Stegostoma tigrinum: one gene and its partners. The protein of the gene in region 3 binds, or shares a complex with, the protein of the main gene of each other region. Links are inferred from orthologs where the notes say so. Each region holds a gene or a part of one and is shown on either strand. Other genes may lie near its edges. The genes, in order: mybbp1a, htatsf1, sf3b1 and sf3b6.

The links.
Region 1: sf3b1 (region 3) and mybbp1a share a complex: the UniProt entries of both Homo sapiens proteins name them as parts of the B-WICH complex. The link is inferred for Stegostoma tigrinum from reciprocal best matches to the Homo sapiens genes SF3B1 and MYBBP1A.
Region 2: sf3b1 (region 3) and htatsf1 share a complex: the UniProt entries of both Homo sapiens proteins name them as parts of the 17S U2 SnRNP complex. The link is inferred for Stegostoma tigrinum from reciprocal best matches to the Homo sapiens genes SF3B1 and HTATSF1.
Region 4: the proteins of sf3b1 (region 3) and sf3b6 are in contact, whole or in part, in a crystal structure (PDB 2F9J), measured with the Homo sapiens proteins. The link is inferred for Stegostoma tigrinum from reciprocal best matches to the Homo sapiens genes SF3B1 and SF3B6. Residues at the interface, in NP_036565.2 of Homo sapiens: Trp388, Ile392, Arg395, Asn396, Arg397, Pro398, Leu399, Ser400, Asp401, Glu402, Glu403, Leu404, Asp405, Ala406, Met407, Phe408, Pro409, Glu410, Gly411, Tyr412, Lys413, Val414, Leu415; in NP_057131.1 of Homo sapiens: Arg12, Leu13, Pro14, Pro15, Glu16, Val17, Arg19, Ile20, Ala32, Met35, Tyr36, Arg46, Gln47, Ile48, Arg49, Val50, Gly51, Asn52, Thr53, Thr56, Thr59, Ala60, Tyr61, Val63, Glu65, Asp66, Ile67, Phe68, Tyr92, Ala97.

What each region holds. Positions count from the first base shown.
Region 1 is NC_081380.1:5,287,019-5,294,800, forward strand, and holds the start of mybbp1a (myb-binding protein 1A-like protein), read right to left. Parts: upstream 3,070-7,782; 5' UTR 3,048-3,069; coding exon 2,877-3,047; intron 1-2,876. Other genes in the region: eif4h (eukaryotic translation initiation factor 4H), read left to right, coding at 3,324-3,388. UniProt on the Homo sapiens protein: May activate or repress transcription via interactions with sequence specific DNA-binding proteins. Repression may be mediated at least in part by histone deacetylase activity (HDAC activity).
Region 2 is NC_081371.1:10,944,895-10,953,103, reverse strand, and holds the start of htatsf1 (HIV Tat-specific factor 1), read right to left. Parts: upstream 3,396-8,209; 5' UTR 3,289-3,395; coding exon 3,124-3,288; intron 2,162-3,123; coding exon 1,969-2,161; intron 256-1,968; coding exon 208-255; intron 1-207. UniProt on the Homo sapiens protein: Component of the 17S U2 SnRNP complex of the spliceosome, a large ribonucleoprotein complex that removes introns from transcribed pre-mRNAs.
Region 3 is NC_081360.1:31,792,506-31,799,998, reverse strand, and holds the start of sf3b1 (splicing factor 3B subunit 1), read right to left. Parts: upstream 3,035-7,493; 5' UTR 2,965-3,034; coding exon 2,937-2,964; intron 1-2,936. UniProt on the Homo sapiens protein: Component of the 17S U2 SnRNP complex of the spliceosome, a large ribonucleoprotein complex that removes introns from transcribed pre-mRNAs.
Region 4 is NC_081357.1:122,345,051-122,353,426, reverse strand, and holds the start of sf3b6 (splicing factor 3B subunit 6), read left to right. Parts: upstream 1-5,270; 5' UTR 5,271-5,377; coding exon 5,378-5,407; intron 5,408-8,376.

The DNA of each region.
Region 1 (7,782 bases), on a different chromosome or scaffold from region 3:
CAGCGGAGGGGATAGTGAGGACCATGGACCACCCAGGGAATGACAGGCTTTGAGTTGGGTAGGGTGGCTGAAGGAGAGGGATGGATGGAGATACTTTTGGGGACATGTACTTCAACAGCAACCCCAGGTGGTGTTAGCAGGCCCAGACTCCATGGAGTATCTTCACGCCAGAATATTCATGCCTAGGGTTAGAGATAGAGATACCTACATTCGAACTGGAGCTCCTGGTTCCTCCACCTTTCGTGAATCCCACACCATGGCTTGCTTCACCCTCATTTCTGACACACTCAACTCACCCGGCTATCCCTGATAATCAGTCCTCATCTCACTCAATGATCACCCTGCAGCTTTCAACTGTCTCACACAGCTTTGCCCTAACCTCCTCACTCTGCTCTCAATTTCAGCTTTTCAACTTTGCACAATTCTACACTCTGGCTCCCTGCATCCACCAGTCTTGCACCCTACACACCAGCTTGCTCTTGCTCTCTCTCTCTTTCTCTCTCTACCCCCACCACATCCTCACCTCCATCACATGTAACTCCCAACACTCTCACTCTAGCACCCAGCAGGCTCAGTCTTCTGCTCCCCAGCTCCCACTCTCTCTCCTCTTCACCAATAATCTTGCCATCCCTTCTCCATCTCTCCTGCATCCCTAGCAAACACCAAGCTTTCTCGCTGACTCCCCCAAGTTCTTTGCTTCTTTCTTCCCCCATACTACATTCTCTTCCCTGCCCCCCCTTTCACCCACTTCCCTTCCCCTTCTTCCCAATTCCCCCTCCATCTTTCCCCAATGCCTCCCAAGCCACTCCCTCTTCACCCTGCAACCCCCTCCTCACCCAAACCCCACACCCCCCTCTCCCCACATGCCTCTCACACCATGCTCTGCCCTCATGTCCCCTCCTTCCACCAACCCTGTCACGTTGCTTCCCCCCCACCGATTCCCCTCTTTCCTCCCTCCTTCCCATCCCTCTCACCCCACTCCCCTCATTCTGCTCTCCCCCCATTTCTCTACTCCATTCCCCATCCCTCTCAGTCCGTGCTCCCCTCATTCCGTTCTCCCCCCCACACCCCCATTCTCCCCCAAATCCCTCTCACCCCTTGATCCCCCCATCCCCCTAACTCCGCTCTCCATCCCATTCCCCCGATTGCCCTCTCCTCCCCACATCCCTCAAACCCCATGCTTCTCCCCAGTCCCTTCTCTCCTTCCCATCGCCCTCCCCCCCCCATCCCACTAGCTCTCGGCCCCATCCCTCTTCCCCTCCCCTCCCCAATTCTCCCCCCACAATCTTCCCTCTCCAAATATCCACCTCACCCCGTTCTCCTCCCATAGCCCTCTCAAACCACTCCCCCGCCGCCGCCCTCAAGTCCCTCTCCATGCCCCTTCTCCCTCTCCTCCCAAATTTCATCTCACTCTCTCCCCACTCCTGCGCTATTCCCCCCACCCCACTCTCTCCATGCTAGCCCCTTTCACCTCACACTGCTCTGCACCCCATCCCCCTCTCCTCTGCCCAACTCCCTCAACTCACATTCTCCTCCCCATCTCTCTCAGCCTGCTCTACCCCTCATCCCCTCTCCCTGTTCCCCCGATTCCCCTCTCACCGGCCCCCTTATGTCTCTCTTCCCCCCGATTCCCCTCTCACCGCAACCCCTCCGTCTCTCTTCCCCCCCCGATTCCCCTCTCAACTCACCCCCTCCGTCTCTCTCCCGATTCCCCTCTCACTGCCCCCCTGTCTCTCCCCCCAATTCCCCTCTCACCACCCCCCCTCCGTCTCTCTCTCTCCCCCCCCCCGATTCCCCTCTCACCGCCCCCCTGTCTCTCCCCCCAATTCCCCTCTCACCGCCCCCCTGTCTCTCCCCCCAATTCCCCTCTCACCGCCCCCCTGTCTCTCCCCCCAATTCCCCTCTCACCGCCCCCCTCCATCTCTCGGCCCAATTCCCCTCTCACCGCACCCACTCCGTCTCTCTCCCCCCCGATTCCCCTCTCACCGCACCCACTCCGTCTCTCTCCCCCCCCCGATTCCCCTCTCACCGCACCCCCTCTGTCTCTCTCCCCCCCGATTCCCCTCTCACCGCACCCCCTCTGTCTCTCTCCCGATTCCCCACTCACCGCCCCCCCTCCGTCTCTCTCTCTCTCCCCAATTCCCCACTCGCCGCCCCCCCGTCTCTCTCCCCCCGATTCCCCTCTCACCGCCCCCTGTCTCGCTCCCCCCAATTCCCCACTCGCCGCCCCCCCGTCTCGCTCCCCCCAATTCCCCACTCGCCGCCCCCCCGTCTCTCTCCCCCCAATTCCCCTCTCACTGCCCCCCCTCCATCTCTCCCCCCATTCCCCTCTCACTGCCCCCCCTCCATCTCTCCCCCCATTCCCCTCTCACTGCCCCCCCTCCATCTCTCCCCCCATTCCCCTCTCGCTGCCCCCCCTCCATCTCTCCCCCCATTCCCCTCTCGCTGCCCCCCCTCCATCTCTCCCCCCATTCCCCTCTCGCTGCCCCCCCTCCATCTCTCCCCCCATTCCCCTCTCGCTGCCCCCCCTCCATCTCTCCCCCCATTCCCCTCTCGCTGCCCCCCTCCATCTCTCCCCCCATTCCCCTCTCGCTGCCCCCCTCCATCTCTCCCCCCAATTCCCCTCTCACTGTCCTCTCTATTCCCCCATCCCCTCACCATCTCATTCCCTGCTCACCCCCCCCCATCACCCTCTCCACCCCATCTCACGCTCTCCCCTCATCCTCCTCCTCTCCGTCCCCCCCCCAAATCCCTCCCACCCGTTCTTCTACCTCTATCCCTCTTCCATCTCTCCCCCCAACCCGCAGTTTCCTCCCGCCTCCCTCACCCCGCGCTCTGCCCCAACCTCGTGCTCCCCCCATCCCCCTCCGCCTCACCCTGCTCCCTGGATTGCTGAGATAGTCTGATAGACCCTGGATCCCTCGCAGCCGCAAATTCTGATCGGCTTTGCCGATGTCCCAGAAGAAGTCGAGGAAACGGCGGTTTTGCTGCAGGATGACGGATTTCTGCAGCGCGGCCTCTCTGCCCATCTCACTCTCGGCTGCCATGCCGCCTCGGGGTCCTCACACAGACAAGGTCATGACCCTTGCTGGCTGCCTCTTTCCCCTCTGCCGTCTGCCCAGATGTGAGATCAGACAAGCTATCGATCAACAGTAATTTATCACAATTGATTCAGTTGGGTCTGGAAGCCAAAGAATGAGATTTAGGGAGCCGGGTGTTTGGAATCGTCTTCCGAGGGAGACTTCTTGCTGGCACAGCGTGAGGCAGCCGCGGTTGTCTTGGTACCGGGGTCCTGGCGGCCTCAGCCTGTCTCGAGCGGGGACATGGCGGATTTCGACAGCTACGATGAGCGGCAGCAGCAGTACAGCAGCTTCGGGGGAGGCCGGGGGTAGGTAACGGGGCCTGTGCATTACCGGGCCGGGGACAGGAAGAGGGGGAGCACTGCACTGAGACCACTCTCGGCTTTTACCCACTCAACACTCCTTAATCCCCTTCTATCCGCCAACCCCACCCCCACCCAAACACTCTACCCTACAAAACCCGGACACCCAAACCCTCAACACGCTAAAAATTCAGCTCCCCCCAAATCCTCTACCCCCGAAAAATTCAACTCCCCCCAAACCCTTTACCTCCTAAAAATTCAACTCCCCCCAAATCCTCTACCCCCTAAAAATTCAACTCCCCCCAAATCCTCTACCCCCTAAAAATTCAACCCCCAAATCCTCTACCCCCGAAAAATTCAACTCCCCCCAAATCCTCTACCCCCTAAAAATTCAACTCCCCCAAACCCTTTACCTCCTAAAAATTCAAACTCTCTACCCCCTAAAAATTCAACCCCCCAAATCCTCTACCCCCCAAAAATTCAACTCCCCCCAAATCCTCTACCCCCTAAAAATTCAACCCCCAAATCCTCTACCCCCTAAAAATTAACCCCCCAAATCCTCTACTCCCCCAAAAATTCAACTCCCCCCAAATCCTCTACCCCCTAAAAATTCAACTCCCCCCAAACCCTTTACCTCCTAAAAATTCAAACCCTCTACCCCCTAAAAATTCAACCCCCCAAATCCTCTAACCCCCAAAAATTCAACTCCCCCCAAATCCTCTACCCCCCAAAAATTCAACCCCCAAATCCTCTACCCCCTAAAAATTAACCCCCCAAATCCTATACCCCCCTAAAAATTCAACTCCCCCCAAATCCTCTACCCCCCCAAAAATTCAACTCCCCCCAAATCCTCTACCCCCCAAAAATTCAACTCCCCCCAAATCCTCTACCCCCTAAGAATTCAACCCCCCCAAATCCTCTACCCCCTAAAAATTCAACCTGCCAAATCCTCTACCCCCTAAAAATTCAACCCCCAAATCCTCTACCCCCGAAAAATTCAACTCCCCCCAAATCCTCTACCCCCTAAAAATTCAACTCCCCCAAACCCTTTACCTCCTAAAAATTCAAACTCTCTACCCCCTAAAAATTCAACCCCCCAAATCCTCTACCCCCCAAAAATTCAACCCCCAAATCCTCTACCCCCTAAAAATTAACCCCCCAAATCCTCTACTCCCCCAAAAATTCAACTCCCCCCAAATCCTCTACCCCCTAAAAATTCAACTCCCCCCAAATCCTCTACCCCCTAAAAATTCAACTCCCCCCAAACCCTTTACCTCCTAAAAATTCAAACCCTCTACCCCCTAAAAATTCAACCCCCCAAATCCTCTAACCCCCAAAAATTCAACTCCCCCCAAATCCTCTACCCCCCAAAAATTCAACCCCCAAATCCTCTACCCCCTAAAAATTAACCCCCCAAATCCTATACCCCCCTAAAAATTCAACTCCCCCCAAATCCTCTACCCCCCCAAAAATTCAACTCCCCCCAAATCCTCTACCCCCCAAAAATTCAACTCCCCCCAAATCCTCTACCCCCTAAGAATTCAACCCCCCCAAATCCTCTACCCCCTAAAAATTCAACCTGCCAAATCCTCTACCCCCTAAAAATTCAACCCCTCAAATCCTCTACCCCTCAAAAATTCAACTCCCCCCAAATCCTCTACCCCCTAAAAATTCAATGCCCCAAATCCTCTACCCCCTAAAAATTAACCCCCCAAATCCTCTACCCCCCTAAAAATTCAACCCCCCCAAATCCTCTGCCCCCCAAATCCTCTACCCCCTAAAAATTCAACCTCCCAAATCCTCTACCCCCTAAAAATTCAACTCCCCCAAACCCTTTACCTCCTAAAAATTCTAACCCTCTACCCCCTAAAAATTCAACTCCCCCAAAGCCCTCTACCCCCTAAAAATTCAACCCCCCAAATCCTCAACCCCCTAAAAATTCAACTCCCCCAAATCCTCTACCCCCTTAAAATTCAACCCCTCAAATCCTCTACCTCCTAAAAATTCAACCCCCCCCAAACTCTCCACCTGCTAAAAAATTCAAACCCTCTACCACCTAAAAATTTAACGCCTCCAAACCTTCTACGCCCTAACAATTCCACCCTCTAACTACCCAGAAATACTGACACCCAAATCCCCAACACCTGCACAAAGTTCCCCCACAACCCCCCCAACAAATTCGTAACCCACCCTCAAAATCCCCAACCCCCTCCAAACCCTGCACCACACAAAAACTCTCCACCTGCTCAGCCCCCAGCACACTTAATTCTCAGTCCCCCTGCTGATCCACCCCCACAGGCCTCATTTCCCCCCTCCACTCAATCTTTACCCACACCCTTCAACCGCCAACCACTTGGAGTTAGCAAGAACTGCAGATTGCTGGAGTCAGTGTTGCGTTGGAGGAACACAGTAATTCAGGCAGCATCAGAGGAGCAGGAAAGTTGATGTTTTAGGTTTATGCCCTTCATCATCACCCCCAACCCCTGCACTCTCTCTCCTCCCCACTGCTCTCAGCCCTCCCTCCCCACTCCCCCCACCGCTCTCAGCCCTCCCTCCCCGCTGTCAGCGCCCCCCCCCCCCCCCCGCTGTCAGCGCGCCCCCCCCCCCCCCCCCCATTGCTTGGCCATTGCTGACACACACTACTCTCCCCCCACCCCCCACCCGCCAAGTGCGTTCACGCTCAGCACCCACTTCAGCCCCTCCTCCTCCTTCCTCTCTGCTCCCCTTGCTCCATTCACCCCATATCCCATGCCATCAGTCAGCTCACTGGCTCATCACTACTCCTCTTCCATCTCTACCTCCTTTGATGGCACTTATCATCTTGTCACTACTTTAACCCACTCCTCACCCTTACCCAGAACTGAGAATAATGTTCTCCCCAAAATATGAATTGCAGTTAATTTGCAACTGTATGGACTCACATTTCATCACCTTGGGTTTTGCTTTTGCGATATAATATTCTCAGTCTCAAAGACTTCAAGAAAACCTAGTTTCATGAATGACCAGAATTTGCCTTCTCAAATCTTGCTGAAGTGCAATTTAGTAACTTGTTTTTGACAGCACAGTTGTGAAACTGAAGCCATCTGGTATCCTTTACTTGTTCAGACAATAACAAACTGTGATCAGTCGATCTCTGTTGCTTTCAACAGGCAAGTATCTGTTTGAAAAGTGGTGTTACCATTCATTCTGAAGTGTGGATTGCTTGGCAAATTTTATTTCTCCCAGAGCAGCAATCAGATTGACCACAAAATATTTTTAAAATTTTGTGGTGTACACTTGACCATTGAATAACACATGCCACATTTCTCACTGGCCCCATTAACCCCGAGAGTCATATAGCTCAGAAACAGACCCTTTGGTCTATCTCAGCTGCGCTCATCAGACATCCTAATCGGACCTAAACCCATTTGCCAGCGTTTGGCTTATATCCCTCTCAACCCTTCCTATTTCTATACCCATCCAGATGTCTTTTAAGTAATGTAATTTTACCTGCCTCCACCACCAGCTCGTTCCATATATCCATCATTCTCTGTGTGACAAAGTTACCCCTCTGGTCCTTGTTAAATGTTTCTCCTCTCACCTTAAACCTGTGTCTTCTAGCCTTGGACTCCCCACTCTAGGAAAAAGATCTTGGATATTCATCCTATCCAAGCTACTCATGATTTTGTAAACTTCTATTAGGCCAGCCTTCAGCCTCTGACACTCCAGGGAAAAATGCCCCAGCCAATTAACTCTCTCCATATGACCCAAGCCCTCCAGTCCTGGCAACATCCTTGTAAATCTTTTCAGCATCCTCTCAAGTTTAAGAATATCCTTCCATAGAAGGGCGACCAGAATTTTACACTATATTCTCACCAATGTTCTGTACAGCTGCAACATGATGTCCCAACTCCCGTACCAAACTTCTGACTAATGAAAGCAAGCGTGCTAACACCACCTTCACTACGGTGCCTGCATCCCTGGATCTCAATTTGGCAGTGCTCCCCAAGGTCCGACTGTTAACTGTATAAGTCCTGCCCTAGTGTGCCTTATCAAAATACAACATCTTACATTAGTTACTTATCTAGCTAGCCAGTGGTAACATTGCTGCAAAAGGGAACAGGGATCTAAAGAAGTTCAGTGCATGAGAAGTGTGTTCATGGGGCTTACAGTTGACTCCTCAAGCTGTCTAAGCAGCAGTTTCATCTGCAGTGGGGTAATTCCATGTTGTGTGTCTAAAGCCCGTGGGTGACTCAAACCTTCAACCAATCTCAGTAATAGTAGTTTATCATCTTGAAGAGCTATGATTACATTTGAAGCCCTCGTGTTGTCTTAAAGATAAAGTAATGCCTGCTTTCTTCCATAAAATTCTTAAAATCTTGAGCGAATATCTGTAGAATTAGGAATACACCATTTGGCTA
Region 2 (8,209 bases), on a different chromosome or scaffold from region 3:
TTCATCTAAGTCAGGTTACAATAAAACCATTATTCCAGTCATAATGAAGGAGACTTGCCTCAGCAGTGTGCTTTGAACTGGCTATTCAAAATGCATCTGCAAATCATCAGAATCATAATAGTCATTCTATCATGGCAAAACTGGCCCAATCACACAAAAGTGGTTGGTTTTGGTCAACTGACAAGCAGTGTTCAACTCAGTACTTACCAGACACGTACACATTTGTGTTCCTCTGCTCCTCAACGTCAATCCAGCCTTTAAAAGATATATTTGCATTATTAAATATAAATGAAGCTATACAAAATAGAGGAGATAAACGAATTATAAGGATTCTGGTAAGTACTACCTGCTGCATGAAAACCAGAAAAGCATGAAACTGAACAATGGGGAACACACAGTTCTTCAAGTATTAATTCAGCATCTTTACAAATGTCAGAATCATTTACTTTGGAACTTGGGTGAAATAAATTATTAAAGTTGGTGAGACCAAGATTTGTCATGTTACATGAGTTGCAGCATTAAAACCAAAAATTTTGCCTTTTACTTTTCAAATTATTTATCTGTGAGAAAATTGCATCATTCCATTATCAGAAATATGACATGCGGACAATACTTTCTGATTGTCATTTTTCAGAGGTTGTTCAATTACATTTGTATCCATCTCAAGAGACAAGTTAAAGACAGCAATACAAGATTGACAAGTCAGCCTCAAAAATGATTTAATAAAACTGTTGCCAATGTCAAATCAAATTACAAGGAGATGCTCCAGTAGATTTGTTTGAACTGTTATCACTAATGCCAACATTGTGATTATTGGAATTAAAATTCAATAATCCATCAAGAACAAAGGAAAGACCATGCAGTCAACATAGCAATTTGCACAATTGAATCATTGAGATCTACAGCACAGGGAAGGCATGATCAAAATCAACCACCTACCTATTCTAATAGGCTTATGAAGGGTCTTTATGCCTTGGCACCACAAGTTTACTTTTAAATACTTCTTAGCATGTTACAAGGGGCTCTGCCTCTACCACTCTTAGCAGTGTGTTCCAAGTTCCACAGACTCTTGTTAGGTACATACACGTGTTTGCACATTGGTCAATTTGCAGTTTCTTCATGTACAAAGTACAAGCATTTCACTGTAGTGTCATAAACAATATTTGATATTGCCACATTGACAGGTATTAGGGCAAACGAATTTGAAGGAACATCTTTAAAAAAGGAGAAAACAGAGTCGGACAGGTTTAGGCAAGGAATTCCAAAGCTCTGGGCCTTGTTGGCTGAAGTCACAGGGATGTTCCAAAGGCCAGAATTAAATGACTGCAGATATATCAGAGGGTTGAGAGCTCGAAGTAGATTTAAGACATAGCTGGGGGACACGGCTATGGATGCATATGAAAATGTGCAAGAGATTTCTTAAAAGAAAAATCAAGACAGGGAAGCCATACCAGTCAGTATGTATGCAATCATTTCATTTCGGGGTCAAATTTACAACCAAAGGTGTAAACAGTGTGATTAAGCCTCAAACTGTTGCCAAGGGGAGGGATAATGCTTATGTCTTGAATTACTGTTGGTCATATTGTATACTAAATTATTTTACGAATAATCAACTTTGCATTTTAAATAACATTTTAGACAACTTTGTGTTTTACACAATTAACGCTGCCAGGTTACATTCACTACCGTTCCTGAAGATGAGACTGGCTGAGAATGAAAAAAACACCAGAGAAAATACATGAGTAACAGTAAAATTTGAGTGTGACTTCGGTAAAGTCTCAAAGCAAATCAGCGACAAATGACCAGGGCTCATCAACAAAATCAACGCAATAGTGAACTGATCTATATCCACACAGCACGGACCAGTGATCTACTCATGTGCCTGTCTAGTCCTTTAAATAAATCTAGTTTTCAAATCTGAAATAATATCCAAAAGTGCTAGAATGACAGGAAGAAAAATAGCATCACCGATGTCCACTTTTCTTTTCTCTCCTTTTTGCTTTGTTTCTTTAGGATCCCCTTGAGCTGCATTATCTCCTGAAGACTTTTGCAGAATGGCTGCTGTCTTCTGGGTTTCAGTGGTGGAATTGCCACTGTTCTCAGGGTCCTCTTCAACGTAACCGTAGTTTGCATGATATGTTGCAAGAAAATCTTCAGTGATCTGGAAACAATTGTTACGACAGGATGTGTACGACAAGTAGTTGAAAACTGTCAACGAGTTTAGAGCGGTTCTGGGTGGGTACACAAATAGGAAGGGTTTGGAGGGATATGGGTCGGGATGTGTGTGCGTGGAGATGGTACCAAGAATGTGCGAATAGCAAGGTCACGTAAGCTAGGTGGAAATGGAGGGTGTGGAAATGGAGAGTGTGGGCAGGGAGGGTGGGTGCAGACTTTGGCAGTGAATGACCTGGAAAAAGGTAGTAGGAACTGCAGATGCTGGAGAATCTGAGATAACAAGGTGTAGGAAGACTGATGTTTCGGGTCTAGGCCTGAAACGTCAGCCATCCTGCTCCTCTGATTCTGCTTAGCCTGCTGTGTTGATCCAGCTCCGTACCATGTTATCTCATATTATCAATGACCTGGAAAGGCAGGAATGGGTTCAAAAATCTGAAAGGTTCAGGTTTAGGGTGAAAGACCTGGGGGGGGCGGGGGGGGAAGAGACTGGGGTTGAAAGACCTGGAAAGGGGGGGGGTTGGTGATGGGGGGAGGTGAAACTGGGGTTGAAAGACCTGAAAGGGGGGGGGGGGGCGTGGGGTCTCGGGTTGAAAGACCTCGAACCGGGGGTGGGGGGGGGGGAAGAGAGAGAGAGAAGAACTGTGGTTGAAAAACTTGGAATGGGGGGGGGAACTGGGGTTGAAAGACCTGGAAAGGGGAGGGGGGTGGGATTGGATTAGGGTTGACCAAACTGGAAGGGTGGGGGATTGAAAGACATGGAAAAGGGGGCAAGGGTGGGATGGGGGAAAATTGGGGTTGAAAGGCCTGGGGGGGGGGGGGGGGTCAAGGACCTGGCGAAAATATGGTGGTGGTGGCGGGGGGAGAGAATTGGCTCAGGGCCGGGAGTGCGGCCTGCAGAGGGGTCATGGGGGTGGGCAGTGTTCCGCCCAGTCCCACCCCCGGCCGTACCTTGGGGAACCAGGCTTTCCTCTCCCAGTCCCACTCGAACTCGGTGCCCTCCGCGTCCACGAAAGTGCTCGTGCGGCCCCACGCCTCCTCGGCCTCTCCGCCCTCCAGCAGCCGCTGCAGCCGCAGCTGCTCGTGGAAATCGGCGTTCGCCTCCTCACCGCTCATCCTCCGGGCCCGAAAATTAAACACCAATCGGCCCAAAAATAAACGCGGTCAGCCGCCACTCTCTTAAAGTCGCCTTAAAGCACCTCGATACGCAGACTCGCCGAACTCTGACCTTCAGCTCCCTGTTTGAGATGTCATTTCCGGGAGCTGGCAGGGCCTGTGTCACGTGGTTTTGGTGGAGGAGATGCTGATGGCTCAGGTACAGGTTTATGTATGGTCTACATCAACCTGTTAAGGGATAGAGGCATGGAGCTGTACTGTAAGGAAACAGACCATTCGGCCCAACTTGTCCATGCTAACAAAACATGCTAAATTAGTCTAGTCCTATTTGGCCCATCTCCCTCTAAACTCTTGCTATTCATATACCCATCCTGATGCCTTTTAAATGTTGTAATTGTATCGGCCTCTGCCACTTCTTCTGACAGCTCATTCTATACACACATCACCCCCTGCGTGAAAATGTTGCTCCTTAGGTCCCTTTCATATCTTTCCCTTCTCACCTTAAGCCAATGCTGGCTAGTTTTGGAATCTCCCCACCCCAGGAGAAAAAGCCCTTGCCTATTTATCCTATCCATGCCCCTCATGATTTTATAAACATTGATAAGGTCACTCCTCGGCCACCATGCTCCTGGGAAAATAAGCCCACCCTACTCAACTTCTTCCTAAAGCTCAAACCCTCCAACCCTGGCAACATCCTTGTAAATCATTGCTGAACCCTTTCAAGTTTCACAGCATTCTTCCTATTAGCAGGGAGGCCAGAATTGCATACAGTATTCCAGTAGTGGCCTAGCCAATGTACAGCCGCAACATGACATCCCAACACCTATACTCAATGCATTGACAAATTAAGGCAAGCATACCAAATGCCTTCTTCACTATCCTATTTAGCTGTGCCTCCACATTCAAGGAACTATGAATCTGCCCTCCAAGGTCTCTTTAGCAACACTCCCCAGGACCTTACCATTAAATGTATAATTCCTGCTCTGATTTGCCTTTTGATCATGCAGCACCTCACATTTATCTAAATTACACTCTATTTGCCGATCCTCATCCCATTGACCCATCTGATCAAGATGCAATCGTACTCCGAGGCAACCTTCTTTGGTATTCACAACACCTGCAATTTTAGTACTTTAAACTTTAGCAGATGCAATTACAAATTATGAGGCTATGCTGGCCAAAATGCATTTGGAAGACAGATTAAAAAGGTGATGCAATAGAAGAACAATGACAGACACTTAAGCAAATATAACTTCAATGAAGATAGGATCACTTCTCAATAGAATATATGAGATAGCAAAGGAAGTTAAAGATAGTTATTATATTGAAAGAGGAAAGCGTACAATCCTGTGACGATTAGTTGAGGTAGATCAGAAAATTGGACAGATTTTAGAAAACAGCAAAAAATGATTGAGAAATAAAGAAATTAGAATCTAAATGTAACTAGCTAGGACCTCAATATCTAGAGGGTCCCAGGACTGTGAATATACTGGATCACCACCTGCATGTTACTTCCATGTCACTCACTGTCCAGATTTGGAAATATATGGCTGTTTCTTTTGGGTTGCTAGGTCAAAATCCGAAAACTCCACCCCTAAAAGCATTGTGAGGGTACCTGCAGTAAATAGACTGAAGCAGTTCACAGCATCTTATCAATGGCAACAAAGGGTGGGCAATAAATGGTTAGTGATGATTGCGTAAAATAAGAGGGCATGGAGAAGGGATGAAGATAACAGTTTAGGAGTTTGCTGACAAGAAGTAAACAGGAATAAATAAATAATTTTTGGGTTGGCAAAATGTGAGCAGCAGGATGCCACTGGATTCAGTTCTGAGGCACAACTATTTACAATCCACATCAATATATCAATGATTTAAATGAAAGGACTGAATACGTGATTGTCAAATTTGCCAATAACACAAAGATATACAGAAGAGTAAGTTATCAAGAGGAGATAAGCTGTTGTAATGTCATAAGATGTTGGAGCAGAATTCAGCCATTCGGTCCAACGGGTCTGTTCCACATTCGATCATAACCAATTAGTTTCTCAACCCTCTTCTCCCTTTAACCCTTAATCCCCTTATCAATCAAGAACCTGTCTTAAATGGCCTCAATAACTTGATCTCTGCAGCCATACGCAGCAAGAGTTTAACAGGTTAACCATCCTGTAGCTGAAAAAATCCATCTTTCTTTCAGTTCTAAATGGTCATTCCTTCATTCTGAAGTTCTGTGCTTTCAGGTCTTCGTTTCTCCTACTAGCGGAAACATCTTCTCCATGTCCACTCTATCCAGGACTCTCAGTACTCTGTAAGTTTCAATCAGTTCCTTTGTCCAGCTTGTTAATATATAACATGAATAGTTGTGGTCCCAACACGGACCTCTACAGAACTCCATTTGTCACTGGCTGCCATTCTAAGAAAAAATTCCTTTATCCCTACTCTCTGATATCTACCAGACAGCCAATCTTCTATGCATACCACGACTTTGCTCTTAGCACCGCATACTCTAATTTAGCCATCTGCAAAGGGAATTAGGTTTAATGAGTGGGTAAAAATTTGGCTGATCTCATATAACGTGGGACAATGTAAATTTGTCCACTTTGGCAGGAAGAATAGAAAAGCTGACTATTATTTGAATGGAGAGAGATCCTTCTATGGTGCAGAGGACTCTTAACATCCTGACACATAAAACACAGAAAACTAGTATCTGGGTAGAGCAAGTCATGAAGAAAAAAATGGAATGTTTGCATTTAATGCAAGTACACAGTTAAAGAAATCAAATGGCTTGTGGCACAATAGCAGTGGCCCTACCATTTAACCTGGAGGCTTGGGTTCAACTCCCACCTGCTCCAGATGTGTGTCATAACACATCTGAATAAATTAGTTAAAAATATCTACAATCACATAAGTAGAGATGTGTTACTGCAGTTGTGCTGGGACCACATATGGGGTACTATGTACAGTTTTGATCTCCTTACTCAAGGAAGCATTGTTTTGCATTAGAAGCATCTCTGAAAAGCTTCACTTGACTTATTCCTGTGGTGAAGAGGTTATCTTCTGAGGAAAGATTGAAAAGGTTGGTGCTTTAGGAGAATGAATGGTGATCTTATTGAAATATATATGATCTTGAGAGACTGTATAGAGGGCAGACATTGAGAGCATGTTTCCACTTGTAGGGGAGTGTGGAACTAGGGGAAAGAGTTTAAAAATGAGGTGTCTTCCATTTAAGGCTAAGAGGAGGAGAAACGTTTTCCCTCGAAGGATCACTGGTCTTTGGAATTTTCCTACCCAGGGAATAGTAGAGGCTGAGAAAATTTAAGTTGGATTTAGAGAGTCCACAGTGAGGGAGGATGAACGGGAAAGCAGGGTTAGGGCCACAGTCAGATTAATCATGATCAAATTGCATGGTGGAACAGCCCTGAGCTGCCGTACTGTCTACTGTTGCTTCTAATTCTGGTGTGGAATAGGGACAAGGGCACCGAACACTTGACAGTGCACGTGACACTTCTACCACCCTGCAAAATGGGACCAAGTCTGATGGTGCACAGCAAGGCAGCAGGCAGGGTGTGCAACAAAACAGAAGATGCTGGAAAAGCTCAGCAGGTCTGGCAGCATCTGTGAGTTCACATTTCGGGTCCGGTGATCCTTCCTCGGAACAGGGCAGGCAGTGAACTTCATGTTATAAAGCAGATGTTCACCTGCACATCTGCCAATGTGGTATACTGTATCCATTGTACCCGGTGTGGCTTCCTCTACATTGGGGAAACCAAGCGGAGGCTTGGGGACCGCTTTGCAGAACACCTCCGCTCGATTCGCAATAAACAACTGCACCTCCCTGTCGCGAACCATTTCCACTCCCCCTCCCATTCCCCAGACGACATGTCCATCATGGGCCTCCTGCAGTGCCACAATGATGCCACCCGAAGGTTGTAGGAACAGCAACTCATATTCCGCTTGGGAACCCTGCAGCCCAATGGTATCAATGTGGACTTCACAAGCTTCAAAATCTCCCCTTCCCCCACTGCATCCCAAAACCAGCCCAGCTCGTCCCCTCCCCCACCGCAACCCAAAACCAGCCCAGCCTGTCTCCGCTTCCCTAACCTGTTCTTCCTCTCACCCATCCCTTCCTCCCACCCCAAGCCACGCCTCCATTTCCTACCTACTAACCTCATCCCACCTCCTTGACCTGTCCGTCTTCCCTGAACTGACCTATCCCCTCCCTACCTCCCCACCTATACTCTCCTCTCCACCTATCTTCTTTTCTCTCCGTCTTCGGTCCGCCTCCCCCTCTCTCCCTATTTATTCCAGAACCCTCTCCCCATCCCCCTCTCTGATGAAGGGTGTAGGCCCGAAACGTCAGCTTTTGTGCTCCTGAGATGCTGCTTGGCCTGCTGTGTTTGTCCAGCTTCACACTTTGTTATCTTTCATTTTATAAGTATTCTGTTTCAGTCAAAGGGAAGATGGGGAACAGGGGGTCGGGTTGGCTTTACAATCCATCCTCACGTTGTAGCTGACCTTCACTTGTTAAAAGTGGACTGTCCCTTTTAAAATAGAAGAAATAAGAACTGAAATGACTTTGGAATGCATAAGGTAAAAAGCAAAGATCTGAGTATCTAGAGCAAAGATCTATTATCTGGGTAGAGAAAGTCTTGAGGAAAGAAATGGAATGTTGGCATTTAATGCAAGTACACAATTAAAGAAATTAAATGGCAATCATCGAGATTTAATCCTGAAACATCAACACAGCTAGACATTGTCCAGGGGAGAGGACATGTTTCCACAGACTCCTAAAGGCTTTTGCGCAGAAGCCTCGAAAACAATTTGCAGTACATAGCTAGGGTGGTGAATGCCTGGAGTCTAGACTCAAGGCATGGAACGAAGGCTTCAAAATGTTCAATAACCTGGTCAGAATGACATCTCCTAC
Region 3 (7,493 bases):
CCTGGAGTGACACTTGAACTTGCAATTTTCTCATTCAAAAAGGTGAGTTTGCTCGCAGATTAAGTCACGGTTTCACCCAAAAACTAACAAAGTCCAAACAAAATCCTAAACGTAGTCCCCAAAAACACGTACCCCAGTTGAGTTCCTAGCCAGTTGCTGCAGTACAGCTAAAATAGTGCCATTGACCAAACATGGAAAATTGCCTAATATATCCGGTTTATTAAAAGCAGGACATGACAATCTCACGACTACACTTTCAGTAACAGGAGACTGATGAAGGTACCATCAGCAGCTTGTATGATTTGACAGCAATGAGTCCTGTGAAGCACAAGATTCCAGGTTCAAAGTCCACTCCAAGATTTGAGCACAAAAATCATGGCTTGACACTCCAATCCAAGCCTGAAGAAGTCACAGTCAGAGGTGGCATTCTTCAGGTGAGAAATTACACTGTGGCCCCAGTTGTTTAATTGGATGAGTGTTAAAAATCCCACGGTACTATTTTGAAAAGCAGTAAGGAGGCATTCCCAACAATATTTAAGCCTCATTCAACAACACAAATTTCAAAATTATCCACCCACTATTAGTTCTTGCAAATTAATCACAAAAAAAGATAGCATCCAAGTTCAGCAAGTAATAGGGAAGGCAAATTGGAACGTTGGCTTTTATTTCAAAGAGAATGAATAAAAGTAGGGAATTTTTGGCAAAACTATGCAAGGCACTAGTTAAGACCACAACTATGAACAATGAATCAATGCACCTGACTCAGATTTGACCAAAAAAAGGGCCAGAATGGGAAGCATTATTTACAAATTAATAGAGAATGAGAAGAATTGATTACATTTTAATTAAAATTATTTATTTTGGTAAAATATATTTGTGACATTACTGCTTGCTCGTCAAGACTTGCAAACTGAAATGTTTCAGTCATGAATCCACAGAGACTGTCAATGCCCAGTGTCAAGAAAGTAATTCAGTTGTAAAATAAAAGGTTGTATTATGGCATACTTGAAAATAAAACTCCAGAAGTCAGTATGAATTATGCTACAATTAATAGCACAATATTGGTATCTCAACAGATAGGATTTTGATAATGCAGATTTTGAAAGTATTGAGAATTACTGACACCACAGACTATAGGTTTAAATATCATCCAAAGGCAGTTCACAAAATCCAGAAAACTTACGAATTCCAAAGTTTATCTGTGATCATTTAAATGTTTATAATAAACATCAAGATACTGTGACACTTCAAATTAGACTTTGCAAGTAACTAATATGCCTAATGGTTGCATAAAAATAAAAGAAAACCATTTCTGTCTCAATCTTGTACTAAAGCAAACTTTTCTGGATTATGAGAATCAGAAAACTGAACTATCTGGATGATTTTGAGTTGATTAATGAGAGATTTATCACGTGATTTCTTGGAAAAAGTCAAGGAACACCGAGCTTTTCCACGCTTACTGAAAAAGCAAACAAATTTGGAAAACGCAAACTTCATTGAGGAGTTCAAGGTTAGGGGGCAAAAGTTTAGGGTGAAAGGTTGAATGATTTAAAAGGGATCTGAGATGCAACTTTTTCCACAAGAGTGTAGTGCATTTATAGAATGAACTGTCATGGAAAATGGTAATGTAAATACAGTTATAGCAGGCATATGAATAGGTAAGGTTGAGGGTTATGGGCCAAATCCAGACAAGTGGAACTTGTTTGGGAAGCCTGGTCAGCAATTTCCCATACTTAAAAAAGGTCAATGGATCTGAAACGTTAATTCTGATTTCTGTCCACAGATACTGCCAGACGTGTTGAGTTTCTCTGGCAATTTCTGTTTTTGAATAAACTGGAATCTCATTTGCATTTCATGAAGAAAATTCATACTGTACTTGACTTGAAACGTTAATTCAACCTTTCGGCTGGCGAAAGAAACTGTATTCCAAACACATTCTGCTGTTAGATTTAGTATTTTTCCTTCACGGTAAAATAAAGCAACGATGCCCAACACTATTCATAAGTCATGGTGGCTTTACGAAATGTTGATCAAACGGTTATTCGTTTACTTTATAAACATTTTGTTTTAATGTTTGGATGCGTTAGCACCGTCGCTTAAGGTCTAAAAACGTTGGCGATTTGACAAATCGCCACAGAGCTACGGGAACTTGTGTTAAGCATCCTCAATGCAGCAAGAATTAGGATGCATTTTAAAAATCCAGGACACAGCAACCCAGGCATTGTAAACCACGCACGAAACAGAACAGCGATATGAATGCCAAAATAAGTTGGCTAGTTAGGTGCTTAATTCAAAGACATTGACACCATGACTCTTCCTCACTATCGACAATGCCACTCTTCAGACCATCCACTAGGAAAACACGTGAGCACCGCTATCAACACTTCGTTCCCCATGTAGAGAAACAGATTGGGTTGGAACCAGATCTACCTTCTCAGCAAACTCCACATTAAATCCGGCCACTCTGCAATGATGCAGGCAGTCGCTTTCTTTTTCGATGCTGGCGGCGGATCGTCGTTATTGACAAGGCCGCAGGCAGACTGCGTCAATCAGCCTGCCCGACTCCAACCGCCACAAAACTCAAGCCAACGAAAACCCAACTAAGATCGCGCGTCGTGAAGGCACCCGAACTAAGACAGTACCCCCACCGCCGCCCATTTCGAGAACTGGTCGGTGGAACGGGAGTGTCGGGGTCGCTCGGTCGCTTCTGGCGCCTCTTCCCTCGGCCCTCATTTACGCTCTCAGGAGCGACGCCATTTCCTGACCCAGCCAAGCGCTCGTTCATCAGAACTGCAGCCACATTTCCTACAGCTCACAACCGGAGGAACTACGGACACAGCCTACGGAAACATTCTTGTGACCTCCATTCCGCCCATGTTTTAATTTTAGAAAAAAACTGATAAAAACACCGTCCGACATAATCCCCCCTCAATTACCTTCGTGAGTCTTGGCGATCTTCGCCATTTTGTACAACGGTTGCGAGCGGAACCCGCGATGCTGTGGGTGGGCCCGGGATTTGATTGACAGCAGCTCCTCTGCCCCGGTAGCACCAATGCTCAAAAGTCTGAGCTCACTCTAGGCAGCGCTGTTATTCTCCAAGGGATGTCTATGCCACAAATCAAGGGATGACAGACAAATCACTCCTGTTAACAAAATAAATTGCCAATGTCATGTTGAAAATTGTTTTCTTCTCTTTGTGGATGCCTCACTTCAAACTGCTTTGCAATATTCTTTGGTTTGTTTGAGAATTTCATAGGATATAAAGGAGACAGTCAGTTTTTTGCTGTCACATAGGTGGAATTATTTTTCAACTGTGTAGAGCATGGTGTTGAAACCCATTCTACCTGTGACTTCGTAACACAAGTTTGAAGTTTTCTAATGTTTCTGTAATCATAAAGTGGATGAATGGCACATGAAATTTAATGCACACAAATGTAAAGCACAAACCATTAAACAGAAACTCTACACAATATGGTAAACTGGGAGGTGTAACCACAGCTTATGAATATTTTTTAGCAACAAAAGATTCTCCTCCTTTGTGGTTGATAGGGTCCTGAACCATATCTATCCCATTTCTTACACGCTTTCCATTTCAACCAAAACCATAACAGAGTTCCCCTTGTTCTCACTTTTCACTGTGCTGGCCTCCACAATCAACAGATAATGTCTGAAAACTCCACCACAAACACATCTTCCCCTTCTCTTTCAGTATTCTGAAAGGAATTGTTTCCTCTGCAACAATCCCCAGTACCTTCCCATGAGAGCACAGAAGGTGCAACACTTAGGAGGTCATCCTCTCTTGGCCGTGACCCATGATTTCATTTTTGTCAGGTGAAAATTGGAGTTACTTGTACTTTTTTCAACTTGGTATATTGTACTTAGCAGTTGTAATGTAGTGTCCCCTACATCAGGAAGCCTAAGCACAGGTTTAGTGATCATTTTGCTGAAAAGAAGAACGTGTGATTATGTAATGTCTTCCAAAACTGAGCACTTCCCAAGGTACTTTATAATCAATCAACATCCAATCAAATTACTGTGTGACCTTTAGTTTCAGGTCACTTGCTACTTTAATCATCCATCCCTTTCTGACACTGGCCATTTTGTTTAGAGGTCTCTACAAATTTCAATGATGCTCAACACAAACATGAAGAACAACAGCTCATTTTTCAAAAGGTATCTGTTGATCCACATGCAAATCATGGGCTCTGGTGAACAGGAAAGAAATGGAGATAAGGCTACAATTGGATCAACAATGATCTCATTGCATGGTGGAGCAAGTTTGAGGTGTCTAAAAGTCTACTCATGCTGCCACATTCTCTATTATTAAAATCAACATTAATGACTTTGGATTTTAACCATCATCTCAATTTATTTATGGACAGCAGATGCTGGTAATACACAAGAATCACAGGGAGTAAAGGAGGTTGGTGCCTGAGGTAAAAATCTCCTTTACTGGCAGGGTGGTCTGCAACCCTGTTTTCTTCTTCGCATTACTAGACCCAGGAGAACTTTTTTTTGAGATATTTTCCATCCTCCTCTGCCTCTGCTATTCTGTGTAACCATTTATTTCTCTTCTAGATCCATCTTTTGTTATTTGTCCCATTATCTTTGTAATTCAATCACAAATACAAAGAAAAAGTGTGGATGTTGTAAATTTGAAATTAACACAACAAATCCTGGAAATACCCAACATTCTATTTGTGAACAAAGGAACAGGCTTATGTTTTCAGATTGATGATATTTCATTATTGAGGATTAAGTTTCACCAATTTGAACAGTTAGAATATTGATCTAGCCAAAGAAGTTGAATACAAATCAAGGGAAGCCAGGTTTGAACTCTACAGTCCTTGGGTCAGATGACTGTGAAACTACCTTACCCACTAACAACACTTGAGATAATGCAAATACAAACTATGAGGTGGATTCCTGATGTCAAAGTTTAAACAAATGGTTGAATAAAAAGGGAGTGAAAGGAATATTGCAACAGAATGGGTACAAAATCAGGATTAATTTTTGAGCAAGGAAAACCTCAACGCAAACTAGCAGATCAGAATGATTGGTTTCCATGTTGTGTTTGTGATGTCATTCATAAAAAGTATGCAAAAAGGTGAACTAACAGAGATGAATGGAAAAGCAAATAAAATATCAATATAAAATATTGTTTGCAGTTAAATTATAAGGTAAAACAAGGAGACAGGTGAAAGTTACATCAAGTGAATGGTAAATTTAGGACTGATATGAGGAAAGTCTCACACAAGGAATGATCAACATTTGAAATCAGGGGCCAATTAATATTTAGACATATTCATCTCTTTACCAAGAATCACAGCCAAATAAAGAACGCTTTTAATGTTCGCCATTATGCTGAATAACGGCATATAATTAGAACATAAAAAAGTACAGCACAGTACAGGCCCTACAGCCCACCATGTTGTGCCGTGGAATAATCCTAATCCAAAAATAAAATAACCTCACCTACATTCCACTCAATTCACTGCTGTCCATGTGCATGTCCAGCAGTCGCTTAAATGTCACTAATGACTCCGCTTCCACGACTACCACTGGCAAAGTATTCCATGCGCTCACAACTCTCTGGGTGAAGCACCTCCCTCTGACGCCTCCTCTATACCTTCCTCCTAACACCTTAAAACTATGACCCCTCCTGGCATGTAAATCCTGCCCTGGGGAAAAGTCTCTGGCTATCGACTCTATCCATGCCTCTCATTACCTTGTACACCTCGATCAGGTCACCTCTCTTCCTCCTTCTCTCCAGAGAGAAAAGTCCGAGCTCAGTCAACCTCTCCTCGTAAGACAAGCCCTCCAGTCCAGGCAGCATCCTGGTAAACCTCCTTTGCACCCTCTCCAAAGCCTCCAAATCTTTCCTATAATAGGGCAACCAGAACTGGACACAATCTTCCAAGTGTGGTCTCACCAGGCTTTTGTAGAGCTGCAGCATAACCTCGCTGCTCTTAAACTCGATCCCCCTGTTACTGAAAGCCAAAACACCATATGCTTTCATAACAACCTTATCCACCTTGGTTGCAACTTTGAGGGAGCTATGCACTTGAACACCAAGATCCCGCTGTTCCTCCACAGTGCCGAGAATCCTGCCTTTAATCCTATATTCAGCATTTAAGTTCGACCTTCCAAAATGCATCACTTTGCATTTATCCAGGTTGAAATCCATCTGCCATTTCTCAGTCCAGCTCTGCATACTGTCAATGTCTCGTTGAAGCCTGCAATAGCCCTCGATACTATCAACGGCACCTCCAACCTTTGTGTCATCAGCAAACATACTAACCCACCCCTCACCCTCCTCATCCAAGTCATTTATAAAAACTACAAAGAGCAGAGGCCCAAGAACAGAGCCCTGTGGGACACCACTCAGCACTGACATCCAGGCAGAATACTCACCATCTACAACCATTCTCTGCCTCCTGTCAGCCAACCAATTCTGAATCCAGGCAGCCAAATCACCCTGTATCCCATACCTCCTGACTTTATGAATGAGCCTGCTGTGGGGAGCCTTATCAAATGCCTTGCTGAAGTCCATGTACACCACATCCACTGCTCGACCCTCGTCAACCTGTCTCATGACTTCATCAAAGAACTCAATAAGATTTGTGAGGCATGACCTGCCCCTCACAAAGCCATGCTGACTCCCTTTAATCACGCTATGCTTTTCCAAACAGTCATAAATCCTATCCCTCAGAATTCTTTCCAAAACCTTGCTGACCACAGACTTAAGACTGACTAGTCTGTAATTTCCAGGGATTTCCCTATTCCCTCCCTTGAAAAGAGCAACGACATTTGCCTTTCTCGAATCTTCCGGTACGAGTCCCATGGAGAGTGAGGAAGCAAAGATCTTCGCCAGCGGCTTAGCAACCTCCTTTCTCACTTCCTGGAGTAACCTAGGATAAATCTGGTCTGGCCCTGGGGACTTATCAATCTTAATGTTTGCCTAAAATTTCCAGCAGATCAACTTCCTCAATCTCGATCTGTTCAAGCCTGTTTTCCTGCTCCTCAAAGTTCTCATTCACAACAAGGTCCCTTTCCTTAGTGAAAACCGAAACAAAAACTCATTTAGGGCTTCCCCTATCTGCTCAGACTCCACGCACAAGCTCCCTATGCTATCCCTGATTGGCCCTAACTTCTTCCTGATCATTCTCTTATTCCTCACGTATGAGTAAACTGCCTTCGGGTTCTCCCTAATCCTTCCTGCCAAGCCTTTTTTGTGCGCCCTCCTGGCCCTCCTCAGTCCACTTCTGAGCTCCTTCTGAGCAAGCCTGTAATCATCTAAAGCTGTGCTAGACCCTTGCTTCCTCCACCTTACGTAAGCTGCCTTTTTCTTTATGATGAGAAGCACCTCTGTTCCCGTCTTCCAAGACTCCTTAATCTTACCCCTTCTTACCTGTCTCAGAGGAACAAATTTATGCATCACTCGCAACAACTGCTCCTTAAACAGTCTCCACATGTCTGTTGTGCCCTTTCTG
Region 4 (8,376 bases), on a different chromosome or scaffold from region 3:
ACACTGCTTCAGAATCACCAAGTAATAACCTGCATGCACAGTCAGCACCTCAGGGACACTCAGTGCTCCAGAATACAGTCATGAGACTAGTTCAAAGACAAAAAAAACTGAACCCTTTATGAAACAAGGAATAATATCCATATTCTAGTGCCAAAGCAGCACTGACATGAGAGTGTGAGGAATTGAAAAAATACAAATATTTTATGATCTATGGTGAAATCTAAATATCCTAAGTCAGAGATTTTTACCTGGACAATGTAAACAAGATGAATTCTGCAGTGTAAATACAACTTGCACGTAAATCTTTAAAATTATAATAAGAAAATTCACAACCTGTCAAATCATCCAAAAGTACATCTTGGCTGCATTGTGAATAAAACTACTTTTATTGCAAGGAAGTATGTTCATCTGTCTATTACATGGTGGTTAAAGACAATTTCTAACTCAATTCTCAAAAATGTTTTCTCAATGTTTAAGCCCAATTTATTCAGCCATTCATCTATGTTCTCTTTAAGGTCTGCACAGATCAAAGGGTGTGCTGATTTTCAAGTTCCAAATTCAGAAGTCGGTGCCTTGGAGGGCTGTGCATTGGCAAGAAAAATTACAGAGAACATTCATCATTATAGAATCCCTACAGTGTGGAAACAGGCCCTTTAGGCCAACAAGTCTACACCAAACCTCAGAGAATCCTATCCACACCCATCCTCCTAATCTACACTTCCCTGAACACTATGGGTCAATTTAGCATGGCCAATCCACCAAGCCTGCACATCTTTGGATTGTGGGAGGAAACTGGAGCTCCCGGAGGAAACCCGTGCAGACACTGGGAGAATGTGCAAACTCTGCATAGGCAGCTGAGATTGGAATTAAACCTGGGTTCCTGCCACAGTGAGCAGCAGTGCTAATCACTGAGCCAGTTCTCTCTCATTATAAGACAAATCTTTCACCATAGGGATCAATCTAGTGAATCTTCATTGGGGAGCTGCTTCCAATCAAGTATTTCCATTATAGCTTAGGAGCTTCTGTGGTGCAGTGTTAATGTCCCTACCTCTGGACTAGGTGACCCAGGTTCAAATCCTACCTCCTACCAAGAGGTGTAATAACTACTGTGCCATTATGCTACTTACTGTTAGGGCTAAAAGAATGAAAAGGTATGTGGAGAGAACAAGGTACTGAGTTGGATGATCAGCCATAATCATATAAAATGGAGAAGTGGGCTGAATGGCCAACTCCTGCTCCTATTTTCTGCAATACAAGAAGCACTGATATTGGTAGACGAACTGGTGATTTTGAGATACTTGGTTTTTCAGCAGCTCAGCATCCGTTTTCCTGTTCCATTTCTTTGCCTGCTTTCTATTTTCTAGCAAAGGAGACTTATTTTCATTTTACCTTAAATTCAAGGGTGACTCAAGGTTTTCACAGCTGTGGTCGTCACTGAACACACCTTCACACACTGGAACACATAAACTAGTGTTGGAATCGGTATTTAATTGTTTGTATATTCATGAAAGAGGAAAATCCAAATATGTTTCTCACCCATACTGCTCTCTCCTGTCATGTTTACAGGCTGGAATATAGTTCAATTTGTAGTCCTTTTTGTCCTTTTGAAGTCCTTCTCTTTGAAACTTTCTTGACACTCATCAGTTGTGACATTTGTGGGTTTCCTTCAATACGAAGGATAACCCACACAGGCTTACCAGAAATATCACAGCCTTACATTGCATAGAAGTTATATTCTCAGTCGTTTTAGCTATAACCACTCTTCAAAAAATGGTGTATTTAAAAGTTTAACATATCTAGTGGTGATCCATAATCTTAATAGCCCACGTCTCCACATTGCATGTTTATGAACATTAAAATCGGTAAGCTGCAGTCCATAAACGGCAGTAAGTATACCTGAATGCACCTAAAACAGTGCAGTCACCAATCAAGGGAAATATGAAAATAACACAAGTGTGAACTCTGGATAATATTATGTTGTGTCTTATTGTGAATGAATGCCATTAACTGTTCCCCCACTACATATGAACTCAACATGTACCTCAACCCATGATAAAACAGAAAGTGCTAGAGAGACTCGGCAGATCTGACAGCATCTGTGGAGTGTCATAAAGTCATACAGCATGGAAACAAACCATTTGACCCAACAAGTCCATGCTGACAATAATCCCAAAAAAACTAGTCCCACTTGCCTGCGATTGGCCCATATCCCTCCAGCCCGTTCTTATTCAAGTACTTATCCAAATGTCTTTGAAACATTATAACTGTACCCACAACTACCACTTCTTCTCAAAATTCATTCCACGCACAAAACTTTCTCTGTGTAAAATAATTGCCTCTCTTGTCCTTTTTAAATCTTGCCCCTCTCACTTAAAAATATGCCCCATAGCCTTGAACTCCCCCACCCTAGGGAAAAGACCCTTGTCATTCACCTTATCTATGCTCCTTACGATCTTATAAACCTCGATAAGGTCACCCCACCACCTCCTACGCTCCAGTGAAAGAAGTTTCAGCCTATCCAGCCTCTCCTTATAACTTTAACCTTCCATTCCTGGCCACATCCTGGTAAATCATTTCTGAACCTTCTCCAGTTTAATAAATCCTTCCTATGACAGGGTGGCCAGAACTGGACACAGTGCTCCTAACGGATTGAGTCTGGTATTATTTTTCTGCTAACTCTTCAGAATACATAATACAGAAACATTTAATTACTTGTGCACACTACAAACAGCAGAGACAGCAGCTCTGACGCTCCTCTCCCCTTACTTCCACACTAACCTCCAGTCTAACTTTCAGACTTCTCCTACTCCTCCCATCCCACCTCCCCACGACCCCACCATCCCTGCCCTGACCAATCTCTTACTCCAATTCAGTAGTACGGGGTGCAACAGTGGAGGTAGCACATAGTGCAGGATGGTGCCCTGCGGGCTGCATGTGGGAGCACACAGGTTTGTGGCTTATGCTATCGGTCATCAAGGAAAGTCTGTAACACTGGCAGCAAAATCAGTTACTGCACATAGAGGTAAATGTAAGGATTATCGTAAATTGGGCAGTTACTGGCATAGATTTCCAAGTGGAAATTTGATTCTCTTGGCTGTAACAGAGACCTAGCTCAAGTGCAGGGCAAGATTCGCTGGTAAATCTTCCAGAGTACAGGGTGTTTGGAAAACATAGAAAAGGGAGGGAGACAGATTTGGTTAAGAAGAAACTTTGTAGTGCTGGAAAAAGTGGACTCTTGATGGGTTCAAGGACAGTATCCATTTAACTACATCGAACAAAAAGGATACACTGCTAGTGTAGTTTATATCCAACTAAAGAAAGAACAAATATGCATGGAAATTGTAGAGAGATGCCAACATTACAGAGCAGTTATGATCAGGGACTTCAGTTGTACAAATTTAGGCCGGGATTTGGTCGTGTTAAGGGGCAGGAAGGGCAAGTATTCCCAACACCAGAATGTGTCCAATCCAACAAGGAATGATGCAATGTTGGATCTGGTTCTTGAAACTTGGGTGGGCCAAGTCGATCCAATGTCAGTGACAGACATCTAGGAGACAGTTCTGAAGAAGGGTCACTGGACCCGAAATGTAACTCTGTTTTCTCCCCCACAGATGCTGCCAGACCTGCTGAGCTTTTCCAGCAACTTTGTTTTTGTTCCTGATTTACAGTATCCGCAGTTCTTTTGGTTTTTATCTAGGAGACCGTGATCATTTTATCACAAGGTTATAAATGATTGTGAAGAATGCCATTAGTCAACCAGAGTAAGAAAAATTAATTGGCAGAGAGCCAACTTTAGTGGGGCAAGAATTGAACTGGACAGGTTGGAATAGAACGAGTGGTTGACGGGAAAAACTGGAAGATGCTCCCCAGGCCAGTGAAAAAGGAAAAAGATCAATCACCAAAAGGGTTCAATATTGCTAAGGAAGAAGTGTTGGATAGATGGTTGGTACTTGGAGTTGACAAGGTACCAACACTAGATGAGATGCATTCAAAGATATTGAAGGATATAAGAGTGTAAATTGTATAATCTTTCAGGCTTCCTTAGATTTGGGAGAGGTAACAGAAAATTAGAGATTTGCAAACACTAGGATCTTATTCAAGAATGGTTGTAAGGATAAGCCCAGCATTACAGACCAGTCAGTTTATCCATGACTTAGGAGTTGAGAAGCTTCCAAAACTATTATTTTCGATAGAATTAGTGGTCACATGGAAAAAAGATGGTTTGATTAGGTAAAGTAAGTATAGATTTCTGAAGGGAAAACATGGTTGACTAACATTGGTGATTTTTGAAAAGGTAACAGAAAAGCTCAATGAGGGCAATACTGTCATTGTGGTGTATTGGACTTTCAGAAGGCATATCATACCGTGCCAGACAACAGACTTTTGAGGAAAATATAGGTCATAGGAATAAAAAGGTCAGTTGCAATATGGATATAAAATCAGCCAAGTGGTAGGAAACAAAAAGTAATAGTCAATGGCTAATTTTCAAACTGGCAGAAGGTCTGCAGTGGAATTCCCTGTAGTCAATATTGTGTCCCTGGCTTTTTTTTAAAAACAAATATTAGTGATGTAAATCTTGGTGTTAAGTGAACAATTTTAAAGTTTGCAAATAACACAAAACTTGAAAGAGTTGTACTCTGAGGAGGTCGGTGTAGAACTTGAAAATGGCAGCGAATTCAGTAGAGTGAGCAGGAAGCATTGCATATTGACGTGGATACCCCACCATAGGAAGAACGTGCCTGTCTGGAAAAGAATGCAGAAGCAATATTATGAGTGGTTCCAGGAATCGGGAACTTCAGCTATTGGAACGGATTCAAAGAATTGTCACTGATTCTCTTCTGAGAGAAAGACGCTAAGAGCCCTTGTGAAGCTTTGTAAAATCACCACGCTGTGGAGACTTGCCACCAATTTGAACTTGGTGCGTGCCTTCGATCCCTGGTCTTGGGCCCCAACTGCAGGTATGCCAGCTGTGGCTGATACAGTCAGTGTTCAGCGATTGCCCCAGGAATATCCCCAGTGCCCAGGATAACCCTGCACGCAGGAATGGCTAATACCCCAGGAGCAAACAGTGCCTCGGAACACTCATTGCCAAAGGGAGTGTTGCAGGGACATGCTGCACCGCGGGTAATCCCACTGGGAAAGGGCACTCCTGGGACTCCCTGCAGCTACATTGACCTGGAAACCTGAACCTCTGTGACCTCCTGGTGACCCCTTGGAACTGGGCAACTCCCCGGAGCACGTGGCAGACGGGTGCGTATGACGCCAGGGCGCAAGGGGTCTGTGACGCCAGTACGCTGTTGCGTCGCCGCGGTGAGGTTTCCTGCGCGCTCTGATCGGCCCTGTGTGCTCGGCCTCTTGTTCCTACAGACCGGTCGCGATGGCGATGCAAGCGGCGAAAAGGGCGAACGTGAGTCCGCTTCTCTTTAGTCGTTGACCGCGCCACGCCCCCGGCCTTTCCCCCAACCGACTGCCGGCTCCATTCGATCTTCCGTCCGTCGTACGTTCAGCCCCGAAGCCGGGCTACACGCTCACCTCCAGTGAGGCGTCCCCTTGGCAGAATAGGATTGTCCCTCACGAGCCGCACGCCCCACCCCCACACTCCCCACCCCCACACTCCCCACCCCCACACTCCCCACCCCCACACTCCCCACCCCCACACGAATCCTCCGCTCCCCCCCGAATCCTCCGCTCCCCTCCTCCCCCCCCCGAATCCTCCCCCCCCCGAATCCTCCCCCCCCCCGAATCCTCTCCCCCCCCGAATCCTTTCCCCCCCCCCAATCCTCCCCCCCCCCGAATCCTCTCCCCCCCCCGAATCCTCTCCCCCCCCGAATCCTCTCCCCCCCCCCGAATCCTCCCCCCCCCCGCCGAATCCTTCCCCCCCCGAATCCTCCCTCCCCCCCCGAATCCTCCCTCCCCCCCCGAATCCTCCCTCCCCCCCCCCGAATCGTCCCCTCCCCCCCCCGAATCCCCCCTCCCCCCCCCCGAATCCTCCCTCCCCCCCCCCGAATCCTCCCTCCCCCCCCCGAATCCTCCCTCCCCCCCCCCGAATCCTCCCTTCCCCCCCCCCGAATCCTCCCTCCCCCCCCCCGAATCCTCCCTCCCCCCCCCCGAATCCTCCCTCCCCCCCCCCGAATCCTCCCTCCCCCCCCCCGAATCCTCCCTCCCCCCCCGAATCCTCCCATCCCCCCTCCCCCCCCCGAATCCCCCCTCCCCCCCCGAATCCCCCCTCCCCCCCCGAATCCCCCCTCCCCCCCCGAATCCCCCCTCCCCCCCCGAATCCCCCCTCCCCCCCCGAATCCTCCCATCCCCCCTCCCCCCCCCCTGAATCCCCCCCTCCCCCCCCCGAATCTCCCCCCCCCGAATCTCCCCCCCCGAATCTCCCCCCCCCGAATCTCCCCCCCCCCGAATCTCCCCCCCCCCCCGAATCTCCCCCCCCCGAATCTCCCCCCCCCGAATCTCCCCCCCCCCGAATCTCCCCCCCCCCCGAATCTCCCCCCCCCCCGAATCTCCCCCCCCCCGAATCTCCCCCCCCCCGAATCTCCCCCCCCCCGAATCTTCCCCCCCCCGAATCTTCCCCCCCCCGAATCTCCCCCCCCCGAATCTCCCCCCCCCCGAATCTCCCCCCCCCCCGAATCTGCTCCCCCCCCCCGAATATCCCCCCCCCAAGGGCGTCCCCTTGGCAGAATAGGATTGTCCCTCACGAGCCGCACGCCCCACCCCCACACTCCCCACCCCCACACTCCCCACCCCCACACTCCCCACCCCCACACTCCCCACCCCCACACTCCCCACCCCCACACTCCCCACCCCCACACTCCCCACCCCCACACTCCCCACCCCCACACTCCCCACCCCCACACTCCGCTCCCCCACACTCCGCTCCCCCCCCGAATCCTCCGCTCCCCTCCTCCCCCCCCGAATCCTCCCCCCCCCGAATCCTCCCCCCCCGAATCCTCCCCCCCCCGAATCCTCCCCCCCCCGAATCCTCCCCCCCCCGAATCCTCCCCCCCCCGAATCCTCCCCCCCCCGAATCCTCCCCCCCCCGAATCCTCCCCCCCCCGAATCCTCCCCCCCCCGAATCCTCCCCCCCCCGAATCCTCCCCCCCCCGAATCCTGCCCCCCCCGAATCCTGCCCCCCCCGAATCCTGCCCCCCCCGAATCCTGCCCCCCCCGAATCCTCCCCCCCCGAATCCTCCCCCCCCGAATCCTCCCCCCCCCGAATCCTCCCCCCCCCGAATCCTCCCCCCCCGAATCCTCTCCCCCCCCGAATCCTCTCTCCCCCCCCGAATCCTCTTTCTCCCCCCCCCTCCCCCCCCCGAATCCTCCCTCCCCCCCCGAATCCTCCTCCCCCCGAATCCTCCCCTCCCCCCCCCGAATCCCCCCTCCCCCCCCGAATCCCCCCTCCCCCCCCGAATCGTCCCCTCCCCCCCCCGAATCGTCCCCTCCCCCCCCCGAATCGTCCCCTCCCCCCCGAATCTTCCCCTCCCCCCCTGAATCCTCCCCCCCCTCCCCCCCGAATCCTCCCCCCCCTCCCCCCCGAATCCTCCCATCCCCCCTCCCCCCCGAATCCCCCCTCCCCCCCGAATCCCCCCCCCCCGAATCCTCCCTCCCCCCCAAATCCTCCCTCCCCCCCCCGAATCCTCCCATCCCCCCTCCCCCCCCCGAATCCCCCTCCCCCCCCCGAATCCCCCCTCCCCCCCCCCCGAATCCTCCCTCCCCCCCCCCGAATCCTCCCCTCCCCCCTCCCCCCCCTGAATCCCCCCCTCCCCCCCCGAATCTCCCCCCCCCGAATCTCCCCCCCCCGAATCTCCCCCCCCCGAATCTCCCCCCCCCGAATCTCCCCCCCCCGAATCTCCCCCCCCCCGAATCTCCCCCCCCCGAATCTCCCCCCCCCCGAATCTCCCCCCCCCCGAATCTCCCCCCCCCGAATCTCCCCCCCCGAATCTCCCCCCCCCGAATCCCCCCCCCCCCGAATCTCCCCCCCCCGAATCTCCCCCCCCCCGAATCTCCCCCCCCGAATCTCCCCCCCCCCGAATCTCCCCCCCCCCGAATCTCCCCCTCCCCCCCCGAATCCCCCCCTCCCCCCCCCGAATCCCCCCTCCTCCCCCCCGAATCCCCCCTCCCCCGAATCCCCCCCTCCCCCTCCCCCGAATCCCCCCTCCCCCGAATCCCCCCTCCCCCTCCCCCGAATCCCCCCTCCCCCTCCCCCGAATCCCCCCTCCCCCTCCCCCGAATCCCCCCGAATCCCCCCTCCCCCTCCCCCGAATCCCCCCTCCCCCTCCCCCGAATCCCCCCCTCCCCCTCCCCCGAATCCCCCCTCCCCCGAATCCCCCCCTCCCCCGAATCCCCCCCTCCCCCGAATCCCCCCCTCCCCCG